2 linked regions of the Tamandua tetradactyla genome follow. The protein of the gene in region 1 purifies or fractionates together with the protein of each later gene. This does not show direct contact. Links are inferred from orthologs where the notes say so. Each region holds a gene or a part of one and is shown on either strand. Other genes may lie near its edges.

Region 1 (8,132 bases):
AAACTCTGAGGCTACTCACACTGATGGATGTTTTGCAGCAATTAAAAAAAAAAAGCTAGCGTCTTAATAAACTAATCCCAAAAGCCACCATATTCAAATCATGCCAACAAAAATTCAAACTAACCTCCTATACACAAAAGGTAAATGGTTCTAGAATTTATACACTTAAAAGGAGAAGAAAAGAGACGTTAACTGTCTCTGTTGTTTTCGGTCTCTAAGACTGAGCTTCTCAGTGTTATCAGGTTGTAAGCATTAAAGAACTTCTTGTGACAGTAAGAAAACATTGATGGGACAATTAAGAAAACGGTAACACTGGATATTGGACATGAAGGAATTAACTTTTTAGATGTGACAACAGTATAGTGATTATGCAAAACACAAAAAAGATACATACTGAAGTATTTATGGATGGAATGATATGGAACCTGGGATTTATATTAAAACAATAAAAGGGAGGAGAAATATATATATGAAATAGGATTAGTCATGTGCTGACTACTGTTAAACTGAGTGATCTAGTGTCTATTTGTAGATGCTTGAAAAATCACAATGTTTTTTAAAATGTAACTGCTTTTGAGAATAATTTCAAGCAATATTTTAATCTGGATCATATACTACCTTTGCATCATTTTCTTAATTCCTTTGGTTTGCATAATTAGAAAATTTCTTCTCAGCAGTACAGACTTTATGGTCAAGGAGCTGTGTCACTGCTGAGACCTCAAATACTTTCCAAATGTAGGGCTCAGCAAATCTCCTTCAAAACCTTAGGGGTTGGGGAGGCGGAAGATGGAACCAGAGAGGAAATAAGGAGGGAGGCAAACTTTAACAATGAACCTGTCCAAATCGTTACCATAAGAGCTCCCCTACCCCAACTTCTCAGAACCAATTACTAGACACTTGGGTTCATTCTTTCATTTTCCTTATAGTTTAATAGCAGACTGATGCTTTCTAGCTTACTTCACTGCCCTTTACATCCATGCTAACCGAATAAGATACAAACAATTCCAACTACTGTGTAACCAGATCAAAAACAAGCTCTGGCTAACTCACTTGGAAGAGTACACTCACCACTTAGATTTGGCCAGAAAAACCAAGTTAGAAAAAACTGACTGGCGCTTAAGCAAACACTGGGCATACGGAAAACGTCTTTAAGCCAGTTACTAGGCCACTTGGAGAGTTGCAACACAATCTTTTCCAAAAATTTCCAAACACTTCCAAATTCAGTTGAGCCCAGCAGTTGCAGTTAACAGGGCTCCCTTTCAAATTCAAAAATCTGCTCCCCCACCCCTCGACAGTTAACCAACAAAACACATGGGATCACCTAAAAATACTGACTCAAGTTCAGACCGCAGGCCTGTACAAGGACCATGTCAAGGGAAGTCGAGGCTGGGGAGAAGCCTTCAAGCGACAGATAAATCCTGTTCATAAGGCACAAGGGAGATGATAGGATCCACACTTAATCTGGCCTGAGAAAAGAGCTTTGGTCAGCGCCCAAACCCCTTCCCCCATTCTACTGAGACAATGACAATTCTTCATGGGAAATCACAAAGAGCTTGTTCATATTTTTTTTCCTAGCCCAATCATATACCCACTTTACCAGCTAGCCCTTCCCCCCACCTACAAATCCCTCTTTCCATGCAAATAACTTTTAGAAATTGTTAAGTAATGAGAGGCAAATCAGGGCGGGGAGAATTTAACACCCTAATATTGTCAAGGCTTGCTCTTCCATTGCCTACTGCCCTTCCAGCATCTTTAGAATGTGCCCTGGATAAAATGAACACCACTGTTAGTCACATCTGGTGTCAGCCACTCATCACAGACTCATACTGTACAGATTTGTTAGTTTCGTTTACGGCTGGTGGGTGGGAGGGAAGGGTGTTAAAAAAAAAAAAAAAAGGAGAGAGGAAGACCTAGAATGGGTGTGAAAGCCAAGGCATCCTCCTTGCTCTTCATGCTCCCTCATTTCTGTTTCAACTACACACCTGTCAAACAGGTTATTCCTGGAATTCAGATTTTATCATCCTCACACCGTAATCCTTCCTCCTCCTGCTGCCCAAGCACACACCTCTCTCCCTGCTTCCCCAAAACAGGCATCCATCAGGAGGGCGTCCAAAGGAGCGATCAAGTGGCCACCGTGAACACCCAACTCTGCACCCGAGCAGCTGGCTCGCCTCCAAACACGGAAACGCGATGACAATCTTTAAGAAGGCCCAGACAGTGGTTTAAGAACATCATCAGCACGGCCGGCCTACCGTGAATGCTTAATTAACCCACCACCTCACTAGGCCAGACGCCGAGTCAAGAAGAAAAGCTCCGCAGCTTGTCTTAGGAGAGCTGTTTCTCCATCTCCCCGAAGAGAAGTACGAGCCTAGGAGGGCCGTTTACTTGCTTATCTCAAGGCCAGGAAATGAGGTCTTTCGAGGCCAGTCCCGAATATAAACTCAAAACCTGCGAGCCCGCCGGGCGAAGCCCCTTTGCCTAACTTGGGCCAAGCGGCGCGGCCCCGGGTCAGCGGCGCGGCGGTCACCCGCTCCTCGCCTCCCGGCCAGAAGTTTGAGCACGCCCCGGGAAACAAAGAAGGCGCCCCACACCGACCTTATAGACTTGTCCGTAGGTGCCATTGCCAACCACTTCCACCAGCTCAAAAATCCCAGCCGGATCCTGGAGGGGAAGGAGGGGAGGGGTTACGATTTAAAAGCAAGGGGAGGAAAAAATTGTGGTTTTTTTTTTTGAAGAAACAAAGCGGAGCGGCTGGAGAAAGGGCGGTTCCAGGGAGGTGGGTCTCGCCCCGGGGCCGGTCCCCGCCGGCGGCCGCCCGCGCCCCCCGCACACGCCACCCCGCAGACAAAGGGGCCGCCGCGCCCGCCACGCCCGGACCCCCGCCCCGCGCCCCCTCCGCGGCCACTCACCCGCAGGGAGGACAGGTCGATGTCCACCAGACTTTTTGCAGGGGAGTCGTTCGCCATTTTCCCTTTCTGCCACCCCCGAAGCAGTGATAAAGATCGAGCGGGATTGGCCTCTGCCAGCCGAAGGCCGCGCGGCCGGCCGCGCCTCCTCGCCGGGGCAGCGGGGCCGGCCCGGGGCCCCTGCGCGCGGGTCGGGTCGGGGCGGGCGGCGGCGGCGGCGGGCTGGGCCCGGCTCTCGCGCCGGCTCTGGGCTCCTGCCGGCCGCGGGCCGCGCCGAGGGGCGGACGGAGCGGGCGCGGGCGGCGGCGGCGCTCACACCATGGCGCGGGGGCGGCGTCAGGCCCCCCGGCGGCCCGCGGCCCGCGCCGCGCGCATGGAGGACGCTGCCCGGAGCGTGGGGCCCGGCGCCGCCGAGAGCCGAGCGGGTGCGCGCGGGGCGGCGAGACAAAGCTGAGCCGGGAGGCGGAGGCGGAGGCGGGCTGTGGGGCGGAGAGGGAGGAGGAGAAACGGGGCTCCGAAAATACAGGGTGAGGCGAGCGCCGACAGCTCCCCCTCGCCTCCTCCGACAGGAAAGGCGAGCGGAAACGCACTCACGCCCCGGAGCCCCGCCGGGGGAGGCGCGGGCCGCGCCGTGAATATTCAGCAGGGGTGGGGTCGGGACAATGGCCGGGCCGGCCGGGCAGCGGGGCCCAGTCGTCGGGCGCCCGGGGAGGGCTGGGGAGGGCTGGGGTTTCCTCAGGGAGGTGCGAAGGGGCAGAAAGTGTCCCCGCCGGGCGCAAACAGGCGCCACATCAAAGGAAATAAACTTGGACCCCGACGCCCTGGGGCGGCCCAGCTAGTCCGTCTCTCGGCCGGAGGGGGTGGCCCGCCCGGCGCGGCCGGCCGCGACCCGGGGTGTCACCTCGGAGCGGGGCGTCCTCCGTTCCTCCTCGGGCCCCTCTCGCCCCATCCTCCCCCGCCACCATTGAGTCTACCTTTAAGACCCCCATTTCCGGTTCCCCTACGCCGTTTTCTCTTCCTTTATCTTCCTTTCCAGGCTAAATGTGTGGCGCGGGGGCAGCGCGGGACCCGCTGAGCATCCTTCGGCTCCGCGGCCTCGGGAGACTGGCGGTAGCGGCATCCGAGCAGCGCGGCTCCTGGCCTGTGCTGCGTTCCTTACAGCCCTGGTAGGTGACCGTGAACTGGGTGTGGAGACCCTAAATACTAAATAAGCCATGTTTCAGCAGACGGGTTTCTTTCAGCAATGGGGGCAGGTCGCCGGGTAGTTAGGCAGAATAATCTACAATATATTGCGTGTCCGGGCTCAGCAGTCATCTTCAGCAGCCCACGCCGCTGTCCAAAACCTCTTGGTCCTGGTTAAGCGTGCCCCAGAATCACTTGGAAGGATTGTAAAAAAAAAAAAAAAAAAAGAAAAGAAAAAAAAACCGGGATGCTGGCCTCCAACTCCAGAGCTTCTGATTGAGTAGGTCAAGGTTGGGCCTGTGAATGAGTTCTCTCTAATGAGTTCTCGAGGATGCTGATTTTGAGAACACTTTGAAAATTGCGGCCTCAGGGTGAAAATCCCAGGCCCTTCATAATTGGGCCTTATGAACATCAGCATCATCACCATCATGTTATCTACCCGTCTCTATGCATTTTATACCCTCGCATTGTACTAAACCAATGTCCAGTTTTACCCCTCCTGTAGCCCTGGGGTAAATGCTTTCCCCACTTTAAGGATGAGGAAACCAAAATGTAAAAGACCAAGGAATGGGCCCAAATTCCTTAAAAGATTAGCCAGTAAGTGGAGTTAGGATTCTCACCAGATCAGCCTATTCCCAAGAGCCAAGTCTCTGTTCAGCCAGGTTAGTCTGCTCTACCCAGAGTAAATTTAGCAGTCTCCTGCCTCCCAAGGGTTTGGTTTCCAAAATTTTTGACCATCAGAATCCCTTGTACGGTTAAAACATATTCAGGAATTCCTGATATCCATTGATTAGGGCAAATATAGTAACCAAAATATCCATGTGAATTAGTGCTTTCAAATGATTATTTTAAAATCACTCAACAATATTGGGGTGCACACGTGGTTCAGTGGTAGAATGCTTGCCTGCATGAGGGAGACCAGCCCATGTATCACCCCCCAAAATAAAAATAATGCCATTATCTATGAATATAAGTTAAATAATTTATTCAGGGAGCTAGATTGGTGCACACGTGACCTTTCAGAACATATTACAAATATTATTTCAATAGTGTTTACTTTTAATAATAGATAAAATGTGTTGGGTCCAAACCATGTGCTAAGTCCTTTACATGGATTATCTCATTATTCTTCATAGAACCCCAAATGGTATGCAATATTCTTTTTCCCACTTTACACATTAGAAAACCAAAGTCTGAGGAAGTTGCATCAATTGCTTGGTGTGCATGGCTGGGCACTGCAGAAATGCTTGGCCCCCCAGCCATCCTCCCCCTACAAGTTCAAGGCCGAAGCTCTAAACCATAACATTGGGCCCACCTCCAGACTTACCCCTTCCTCTTTCCCCTCTAGATTCACATCTTCTCCTCAAGCCCAAGTCAGAAATCATTTCTTCCCTCTCCTCTCAATCTGTCTCGTAGGCTACTATTTCCTATGTCACCATTGCGACGGTTATTTCCCCGTCAGTTGAATACCTAGTCTTGTAGTGGCTATTAAGTGTGAGAGTTGGCTTAGCCATTGTCTGAGGCAGAAGGAAAATACCATCAGAGAGCATATAATCTGACAGTGGGAATAAGATCATTTCATAAACCACTGCACTAAAAGGCAGAACGTTTAAGTTCTAGCAAGTTGGAAAGAGCACTCACTCAACAGGTCAAGTGGTTGATGCTTTTCGTGCAAAACTGAATTGTGTTTGAACCCCATTTATTTTATCGGTGGTGTAACCTCGAATACGTTGCTCAATCTCTGAGCCTCCGTTTCCTCTCTGTGTGTTGGATGAAGCTGAGGTAAAAAGAACAATTAAAAAGACTATCATGTGGATGACCAGAGGGTACATCAACTGATGAATGAAAGCATAAACTAGGTGTATACATACGACAGAATATTGAGTGGCTGCAGGAAGGCTGCAGGAAAGAATGAAGTCATGAGGCATATGAGGCATGCAACTTGGTGACTGAATCTTGAGGACCTTATGTTGAATGAAAGAAGCCAGAAACAAAAGGACAGACATTGTATGCTCTCTTTTAAAAAATACATATAAGAAAACTAGGGCCTACATTGTAAGCTCTTAGAGCTATCACATTTGAGCTTTAAGTGTTATTTCTAAATTCTGAGATGCTGTGCTCTATGTGTATAATCTGGTATTTTCATGGAGCTTTGGGTGTTTGTGTGATACCTAAGACTCAGAGTTAAAGTTCTGAAACTGAAAGTCAGGATTACTCCATATAGCAACTGCTAAAGAAGCCAAAAAGAGATCAGACTTCAATTAGAGAAAAGGATGATGCTAATCTGGTTCTGACTAAGGCTAATCAGAGTACAGGGTAAAGATTGATATTGTCTGTATTTTAAAACTTCACCTACTGTGTGAGAACAAAGGAAGAGATGTTTATTTTGTCCAAAACATAAATTTTCTGTAGTACACAATCTAACTTAACCTGTCTAGCCAGTTTGGTTAAATGACCTAAACACATGGAGTCTAAAATAGGGAATAAGATCTTGTAAATTTGTATAGCTTAATATAGCACCCTGATACATTCCAGAATATGCTGGGCAGAAAAATTGACAAAGTCCCCTAAGTGACTGGAGAAAATATATTGAACTATTAAACTTCCCCACCTGGGAAATTCCTGATACTCTCTCAAGCATTAGGGACTCCGTAGTTAATAGGCCAAGCCCTCAATCTTAAGGCTTGCTCTTATGAAATTTATTTCTATAATGGGGAAGCAAAGCCTACCTGTAATCATGCTGAGTCACTTCCAGAGAACCTCTTTTGTTGCTCAGATGTGGCCTCTCTCTCTCTCTCTCAGCCCAACTCTGCAAGTAAACTCAGTACCTTCTCCACTACATGTAGGACATGATAGCCACAGGTGTAAGTCTCTTTGGCAACATGGGACACGATTCCCAGGGATGAGCCTGGCCCTGAAATCATGGGATCGACAGTGCCTTCCTGACCAAAAGGGGGAAAAGAAATGTAACAAAATAAGGTATCAGTGGCTAAGAGATTTCAAATAGAGTTGAGCAGCTATTCTGGAGATTACTCTTATGCAAGCCTCAGCTAGATACTACATATTGCCATGATATGCCAAGCTCCAATCATTAGTATTCCTGAAAACCCTAAAGAACACCCAGGTGTCAGGCTGAGAGATTTCAAACAGAGTTGAGAGATTATCCTGGAGGTTATTCTTATGCATTATATAGACATCCCCCTTTTAGTTTACTGTGTATTAGAGAGGCTAGAGGGAAGTGCCTGAAACTGTAGAGCTGTGTTCCAGGAGCCATGTTTCTTTAAGATGATTGTATAATGATATAGCTTTCACAGTGTGACTCTGTGATTATGAAAACCTTGTTCTGATGCTCCTTTTATGTAAGGTATGAACAGATGAGTAAAAAATGTGGATTGAAAATAAATGAATGACAGGGAAACAGATGTTAAAAAAAAAAAAAGATAAAAAGAATACCCAGGCCCTATCCATGGCTCTATACAAGTTTCACTCACTAAGTTTACTTTTCAGAAACTTAAAATCTCCAGATTGTTCTATGCTAGATACACCCTGAAATCCAGAGATACCAGTCTCTCCAAGAGCATCAGCCAGTTGCATCACCCTACCCCATAATGTTGACATCTCTTTTCATCTTGATGAAGTTAGAATAGTTATTGCCCAAATATCCCTGAAGACTGGGAGAAGGATTAAATGAGAAGGAAGAGTTATAACAGAGAAGATAGGACTTATATAATTGTGACTACTGAATCATTATACTGATATTTCTTGTTAGTATCTAGTATACAGGAATAGCTCAAAGGAAATACCTGAAATTGTAGAATTGTAACCCATACCATACTTTGAAATTTGCTCTATAACTATATGTTAAACCATACTTTGAATTTATCACTTTTCTTCACATTATATCTCACAATAAAAAACTGAAAGAAAAAAAAAGACCATTGCATGGATGGCCTAAGGGTACATTGACTAATGGATGGAAGGGCAAAGTGTGGTATATACACATGATGGAATAGTGAGCAGCTACAGGAAGGAATGAAGTAGTGA
Region 2 (7,643 bases), on another chromosome or scaffold:
CATTTCTACAGGTCCTACCTACCAGATTTATATAGAGAATAATATAAAACTTAGGTTACATACTAACCTTAGGACTCATATAATCACTTCTATCCCCCATTCTATACTAATTCAAAAAGGAAGTTCCCCAAATATGATTAACCCATTCATACATGAGCATGTTTGGCCATTTCCATATTCTTGCCTGCTTGTCATCATCACTCTTTGTAACACCTGTTATCCTAGCACAGGCTTGCTGCATCTATGCATTCCTAGCCATTTAGCAAGAGTACTTGAGAGAAAGTGTTTTAGGTGGGAACAAAAACACCTTAGAATTTACCTAGAAGATCAAAATTAAGAACAGATTAATACACTTAAATGTTTCATTTTAAATTTAATGGTATGCCTTTATCCCAGCAAAATCTTAAAATATACTTAAATTCACTTCAAGTGAGCAACTCCTGAGAAGAACAATGAAGGGGGATTCTGGGGTGGAAAGAAGTCATACTTTTCTTCACATACCTCTGTTTTTACTACTTGAATTTTTCCATATGTATTACTTTTTCTAATAAAAAAACCATTTAACTACAAAAAATAAGAAGAAGAGTCTTAACAATTCTCCAGCAGCATCAATTTGGAGGGTGAAAAAATATTGATTCAAGATGATATCATAGATTGTATCCTTACACCACAATTTTTTTTTGTTTTTCATCTCAAAAGATTTGACATAAATATAAAATCTATGTTTAATTTGAACAGATACAGTAAACACAGAATATACATGGGCAGAATGAAGGAAAAACGGGACTGAAAATTTAGGGACAAATACTGTTATTTGGTATTTGCAACAATTTTGTTTGATCATATAATCAATTCAATCTTCTAGGCTAAGCTTTATTTCCCTGTGTCCTTACAGAAACACAAATTTCAGCTGAGAATCCAAACTTATGGTAGTTAGGCTCAAAAGAGTAATAGTCTCTGTTGAAATGATGGCAGTTTTTCACCCCCCATTTATGTCAATAACAGAAGTGGATATAATGGACATCTTATGAAAAACCCTTCAAGAGATTTCCAGCCTCAAGAGAGTCAGCTAATAGAATAACAAATCTCCCCAGGATCCTTTAGAAAAAAAAAAAAGCCTGTCAAATAGCACCTTTAGTACTTTGGTAGTTTGTGGGGAAAAATGTTTTTATGATACTATTGTTTTGGAATTTAAGCCTACATAAAATGAACTTTTGTTTGGTTGCAATAGCTTTGATTCATTTACTAACAACTCAACATCTTAAAAAAAATTCAGAAGTTGCTATATTAGTCAAGTTACTGGAAAAGTTTGCCACAGTACCTTAAAAATACTAAGAAAAGTGTAATTAGTAAATTGCACCCGCTAAAGCACTTAGTCTCTTAAGTATACAACATTAAGTGCTTACCTTTAAATGCAGAAAAAACATCCATTTCCTAAGTCAATGGAAGTCAATACAATGGGTCAATATGAGGTTATTTATTTTCAAGCAATAAATAGCAACATTTATTGCAGCTCTTAAAACAATGTTAAACCTTCACTCTGTCTTACAGTGAAGGACAGGACAGATTTTCCTAAGAAACTGGACCACATCCAGTTTGGCTAACCAGCCAGGGTAAGAAGTCTGCATTTTCTATAGTCAATGCTACCAAAAACACTTTGGAACTATGGCACAAAAAGAAAATCATTCTTGCTTTTTTGTTGGTTATTAATTCTGGATACTAGTCTTTTCTATTAGTAACTTCCCTTTTTGCCACACATTCTAAGTAAAATGCCTAGAAGGCAGGTCTTGGGTTCTTTATCTTGCAGCACTCAAATTTATGATTCAAGTTGAGAAACTTGGGTGAGAATAGAGGCAGAGGGGGAAGCAGACAGAAAGAGCTTATCTGTGCAAAAGATAATGGACTCCAAATAATTTTCCTTTCAAAGTGCTCTATTTGCTGGAGATTATCAGTTAAATCTTGTGTTTTGTTGAGTAAATTAATCAATACTTGTTGAATTGAACAAGCAGCTTCAAAAGGTTTTATTCCAGGCTAACTATAGGCGGACTGGCCCGTCTATTCCTTGTTCACTTTTCTTGGACCTACAAACAACTTTAAGATATTTGTTGACGGTTATTACTGCACTACTCTCTATAGAAACAACCCGAGACTTTTCCATGCGAGGAGTAACCTCAAAAATGGCCCATGTCTGACTTTCAAAAGCAAACACAGTCATTAATGCACAGTTTCAGGCAAACCAGAAGCAGATGCAGGATTAGCACACCCCTTTCTAACAAATTACAAGACTTGGTTTTGGTTACCTGAAAAGATTGTTGGTTAACCAGACTATAGACGAGGATGAAACCTTGGCCGTTTTTGATGTAAAGATCTCTCATGGAGGCAAACTGCTCAGTTCCTGCGGTGTCCAGAATTTCCAGCACGGAGGGGGAAGAGTCCACTTCGATCTCCTTGCGGTAGAAATCTTCAATGGTGGGGTCATATTTCTCAATGAAAGTCCCAGTGACAAACTGCACAGTAAGCGCAGATTTGCCAACCCCTCCGCTCCCTAACACCACTACCTTGTATTCCCTCATGAGTCTCACCTTCACCAACTCCTACCAGAGGAGGGGTGGGGGGACAACACCCGGCTAGCTGCGGTGCGGCTAGGCGAGGCGGAAGGTGGGCGGAAATCTGCGAACTGGGGAGGAGAGTGCAGAGAAGCCGAGGGCCCAACGGGGGAAGAAGAGGAAGTTAAAAGAGGGGGAGGGGAAAGAGCGAAGTGTCGGGGTGGGTGGGGATGGGATGGTAATGCCCTTCCTATAGGAACTGAAGCCCAGGCAGGGGGCGTGGGGACGAGGGCGAGCCCGGGAAGATGCCAGCGAGGGTGGGGAGACGAGACCTGCCCCTCCGTGGGGAAGTGGGGGGGGGGGGGGTGGACGCTGCAGAAAGGGGGCCCCCGCGGGAAGGCGGACGTCCGAGAAGCACCCCTCCCCCGCCCTTCACACAAAAGTGGCCCAGGGACCCCGCTTCCTGCTCGCGCCTCCGAGCCGGCCCTGGCCTGCGGGCTCCGCTCCAGTCACTGCCGCCCGGGCGGGTCTCCGGGTCCCGGCTCCCGCGGGGGGTCGTCCGGCCTGCGAGGGGGAGAGGGGTGCGCGTTACCCGCCTGACCTCCGCCACCCCTCGCTCCCAGCCAGCCCCGGGCTGCCGCCGCCGCCGCCGCCGCTTACCCTGCCGTCCGCGCCCGCCCGCCCGCCCGGGAGGCTCTGTCACGCCAAGGCCATTGCCACCGGCCGGCTCCTCGGTCTCACCGCCGCCCCAGAGCTGCCGCTCTCAGAGGAGGAGAAAGGGGCGGGGGGCCGTCCGGCCGCAGCGGCCGCAGGGACTTCAGGCTCACCCACCTCTTTTTTTTTTTTTTTCCCTCAGCCACCCCCCCACCCCCACCCCCTACCCCCAGCACACACCCGGAAGGGTTTCCCTGACACACTGGCTGAGGTGCCCCAGTTCCCCGAGACTGGACGGGATCACTTCCGGTGGGGAAAGTCCCACCTCTTCGGGGCGAGCCGGTTGGCGCTGGGGCCGCGCCCTGCCCAGCGGGCGAGAGGGCGAGCGGGTCGGGGACGGTTTCGGGCCGGGACGAAGGACCTCTGGGTGGACTGCCAGCGTCCCCCCTATCCGGCCCGCAGCCGTGGCTGTTGACGGTCCCACCTCCCAACCGGGTGAAGCCCCTCCGCGGCTCACGCTCCCCCAGCCAGGCCTGAGGACTCATCTCTCTTTGGCCAGGACACGGGACCACCAGCTAATTATCCAGCGACCGGGAGAAGACCAAAATCTCTGAGCTAGAAGTTGCAGGGAAAATAAAACGGCCGAGAAAGTTGATGGTCTTTGCTGGTATTTCCTCCACTTGTTATTTTTTTCCAAGAAATTCATGCAAACTACCCCTAGACTATGCTATTGTTTCCTATTCCCATGTGGGCGTGTTACTTAGCCGTGCCTGGCAAATAATTAAACACAGAAACGCGCAATACTTTTATCATCTGACAGGTCTGCCTTGACCCCATCACTCACTTTCTTATCACAAGGCTGCAAAATGACAGCATTGGAAACAGACTCATGGTATGCTACTTCACTTTTGCCTCTATTTGATGTCAAAGACTACGTAACAGAAAGGGAAACCAATATGCAGGGAACAGTTGATTGGAAATTGTTTAGGTCAGCGGACTAATTTCCTTTAATCATTGATCATCTAAATGCAGAGCAATTCACACTGTTGACTCTCCCACTTTAAAGTTTATTTTAATTGTCATCCTTGAGGGTCATTGAAATTCAAAAACAAATAATTACTAATGCTAGACACTAAGTTGCTATTTTTAGATAAAATTGTTACTTCTCACGTAGCTTTCACTCTGACAGCCTTCTATTTGTAAACTTCGTATCAGATCCACAGAGCCCCAGGATCAGAAGACTAGTCACATTTTCGGCAGGTCCCCCCCTTTTAAATTCAAGCATGCACCCAGAAACCTGAGAAACATGGTGGCCAGCCTAGTTAAATTGAATTTTAAGTCCCTTACTTGCAAGCTTGGCTGGACAGACTGAATACAGACAAATCCAAATTACTGGACCCTAGAAAATAGGCAAATCACAGTAGTGTGTCCCACCCTGAGTGTTTCCCAATGTCACTTACAGTATCCAAAGGACCGTTTAGTTCAATTTTTCCTTGGCCCAGGCCTGGCGCAATCTCTCCAGCAAAGTCCCCAGCTCTGGCTCCAGCTGGCCTGGACCTCGCTTCATATCAGACGCACTGCCCTCTGCTGGAAAAGGTTTGTTCTCTGAGTTATGAGTCTCCCCATAGGTCACTGCTCCTTTCACACGTGCTGTTGCCTGATTTGGAGCTCTGCTGCCCATCTCCCCGTCTAGCTGTCTCCAGACTGTCTGGTAGAATCCACAGCCCTCCACCAGCACTGCTTGTAATTGAGTCTGGAAATTCCTCTTCTGATCCAGCCACTGGTTTAGCAATCTTAGCAAGTCTGCTCTATCCCTAACTGTCAAAACATGGAGCTCTTCTTTTTGACGCCATCCCACCTGTTGGCAGATGCACTATCTCTGATGTATTGGTCATGGTTTGGAGAGAATTCTTTGTTTCTCCATACAGTGAAACATACTCCTCCCCTCAGTACAGAATCCTTTTGGGTCAGTCTCGTCAACTAAGGGGTCGCCAAGTGCCACACTCAGCCTGAAGAGCTTTCTTAGTAAAGCATTGTTTAGGAAAACAAAGACTTGGGAATAAACTTCAATGTTTTCCTACACATGATTCAAAAATATATGAGAAGGGCGGTACGATAGTGGCTCAGTGGCAGAGTTCTCACCTGCCATGCCAGAGACCCGGGTTCGATTTCCAGTGCCTGCCCATGTTAAAATATATATATATGGATACATTCACAAAATGGAATACTAGGTTGCTATTTTAAAAAGAGATGTAGATTTGTAAGTACTGTTATGAAAAGAACCCCACAATGCATTGTGAGACTGAAAAAGATACTAAACAAATATATCGTTGCTTCCATTTATGTAAAATATGTGCCAGTGCATATGCAATAATTATATAGCCATTAAAATCTGAAGCAAACTAGTTAATTATGGGTGAGGGTTATCATGGAAGAACTGTCTTTTCTCCATATCATTTTAATTTTAAAATAATGATCAGGTATTATTGGGGAAAAGACAATAAATATAATTTTAACATTTTAAAGGGAAAATAAAAGGAAGTCTTTGATCATCGCTTCCTCTAAAAACAATATCCTAAATGTTTAGGAGTCAGTGGACAGGTCTGCTCAATTTAGACAAACTCCCTGTCCCTTTTTTACCTCCCCCCAAACAACTCTATACTTAGAAAATTATTTTCACATACATTATCTCATTAGACTCCAGTTGTTCACCAGTTTACTTTCATTAGGCCATGAGAGTGTAAAGACCAATTCGAGGTACAGGGCCTGGCAATTGAGGGCTAGAGTTCTTAAATGAGACAGGCAGGGATTTAAATTGCAACTCTCCTACCTCCTAGCTGTGTGATTTCACTGTCTGAGCTTCTGATTCCTTACCTGTAAAATGGGGATAATTTCATGTGAGAATATATATGAGGTATTGCATGTAAAGTGCTTAGCACACAGTGAATGCTAGCTATTTGGTTTTTATTTAAAAGGCTTAATAAAATGTTTGTTTTGCTTTTAATCAGAGAGCACAGGGTAGAAAACAAAATGTAAAAAAAACCCAAATATCTCTGAATGGCATAAAAGTAATAACTCAGTACTTCTTTCCAAAGATATACCTATTTAAAAAGCCCTTGTGTTTCCTTTCTTGGAGGAATAAAAAGGTTATTTATATTGCCAGTGCATCTATCAATCCACATTCTATATGTATCTTTTAAGATTGCCACAAAAGTGATCACACTACAAACTGCATACACCATTCTGCATCTCACTTGTTTCCACTTACTATATCTTGGTGATTTTAGAACATATATATCTATTTCATTCTTTTAAATAGCTGTACCAAAATTTGGGTGAGGAGTTCCCTATTGAAGGACACCAGTTGCTTTTAATTCTTTGCAATGAGCATCTTGCATATATAGCTTTGTCAGTTAATCTTTAGAGTGACTTTCTAGTAGATCTATAAATGAAACAAAGGGTATTTGCATTTAAAATTCTTCTGGAAAATATTGCCCAATTGACCTTCGGAAAGGTCATACCAATTCACACTCCTGTCAATGCTGCATGACGCTTAAGTTAGGAGTATTGTTATTAATACTGATCCCTTAAATTTATTTGGTACTTTTTTATACCCTCACCTTAGCTATTTTTAGAATTTTATTGCCATCATTACTCCCTTTAGGGTGTTTGCAGGACTAACAAATGTAGCATAGTGTGGTAGAAGGAATTTGGACTTCGGAGTCAAACAGTCCTAACTAACACTGCCCTTTGCTAGCTACAACTCCATTTTCTCCTTGGTAAAGTTGAGCATAATAGCAGTATCTAAATCACAGGGATCCTTTAGGGAATAAATGAGACAACCCATTCAAAGCACTTAGCCTGCCAAACACTAACTGCTCAATAAATACAAACTGCTCAAATGATAACTTTCCACTCCCAGGGCTCAAAGATGAGGGGGAGGGCTTTTCCTCCAGAGACCATGCCCTTGAGACTCAGAATTTTGCTTTCATTTCTTCTGTATCAACTGCCACCCCAGAGTAACTGTTGTTCGTGCAATGATTTTCAGAAACACAGTCAAATTTTACCATAAGGTGAAGAAATCTTAGTCTATATACTCTGGAGCCCCTTTGATATCAGTTAGGTTATCTTACAAACCCCTTTAGCCTCTGAGATGCAAATCTCCCCATTCAAATTCTGCCTCCTCTTACACCAGTTGCCCGGCACGTTAAGCTCCCTGAGTACGCGAAAAACAGTAAAATTTCCTTGTTACACTTCTCTCATTATAAAAAATAATGCTTATTGAAAAAAAATCAAGAAATAAAGCTGTCATCTCATTACCCATGGAAAATTGCCATTAACATTTTTCTGTCTTTCTCAAAATTTTTCTGTAAGAGTAAACAGCTATGTTTTTAAAACTAAGAACAGGATCACATAATTTTGTGAGCAGCCTCCTTCCCTGAC

What was found.
Region 2: the proteins of MAP4K4 (region 1) and RAP2C purify together in Homo sapiens (affinity purification with mass spectrometry; 3 studies listed by BioGRID and IntAct, counting the BioPlex papers as one, with this or other methods). This does not show direct contact. The link is inferred for Tamandua tetradactyla from reciprocal best matches to the Homo sapiens genes MAP4K4 and RAP2C.

The regions. Positions count from the first base shown.
Region 1 is NC_135343.1:7,241,419-7,249,550, reverse strand, and holds the start of MAP4K4 (mitogen-activated protein kinase kinase kinase kinase 4), read right to left. Parts: upstream 3,076-8,132; 5' UTR 2,967-3,075; coding exon 2,910-2,966; intron 2,662-2,909; coding exon 2,596-2,661; intron 1-2,595.
Region 2 is NC_135353.1:30,358,127-30,365,769, reverse strand, and holds the start of RAP2C (ras-related protein Rap-2c), read right to left. Parts: upstream 3,039-7,643; 5' UTR 2,574-3,038; coding exon 2,301-2,573; intron 1-2,300. UniProt on the Homo sapiens protein: Small GTP-binding protein which cycles between a GDP-bound inactive and a GTP-bound active form. May play a role in cytoskeletal rearrangements and regulate cell spreading through activation of the effector TNIK.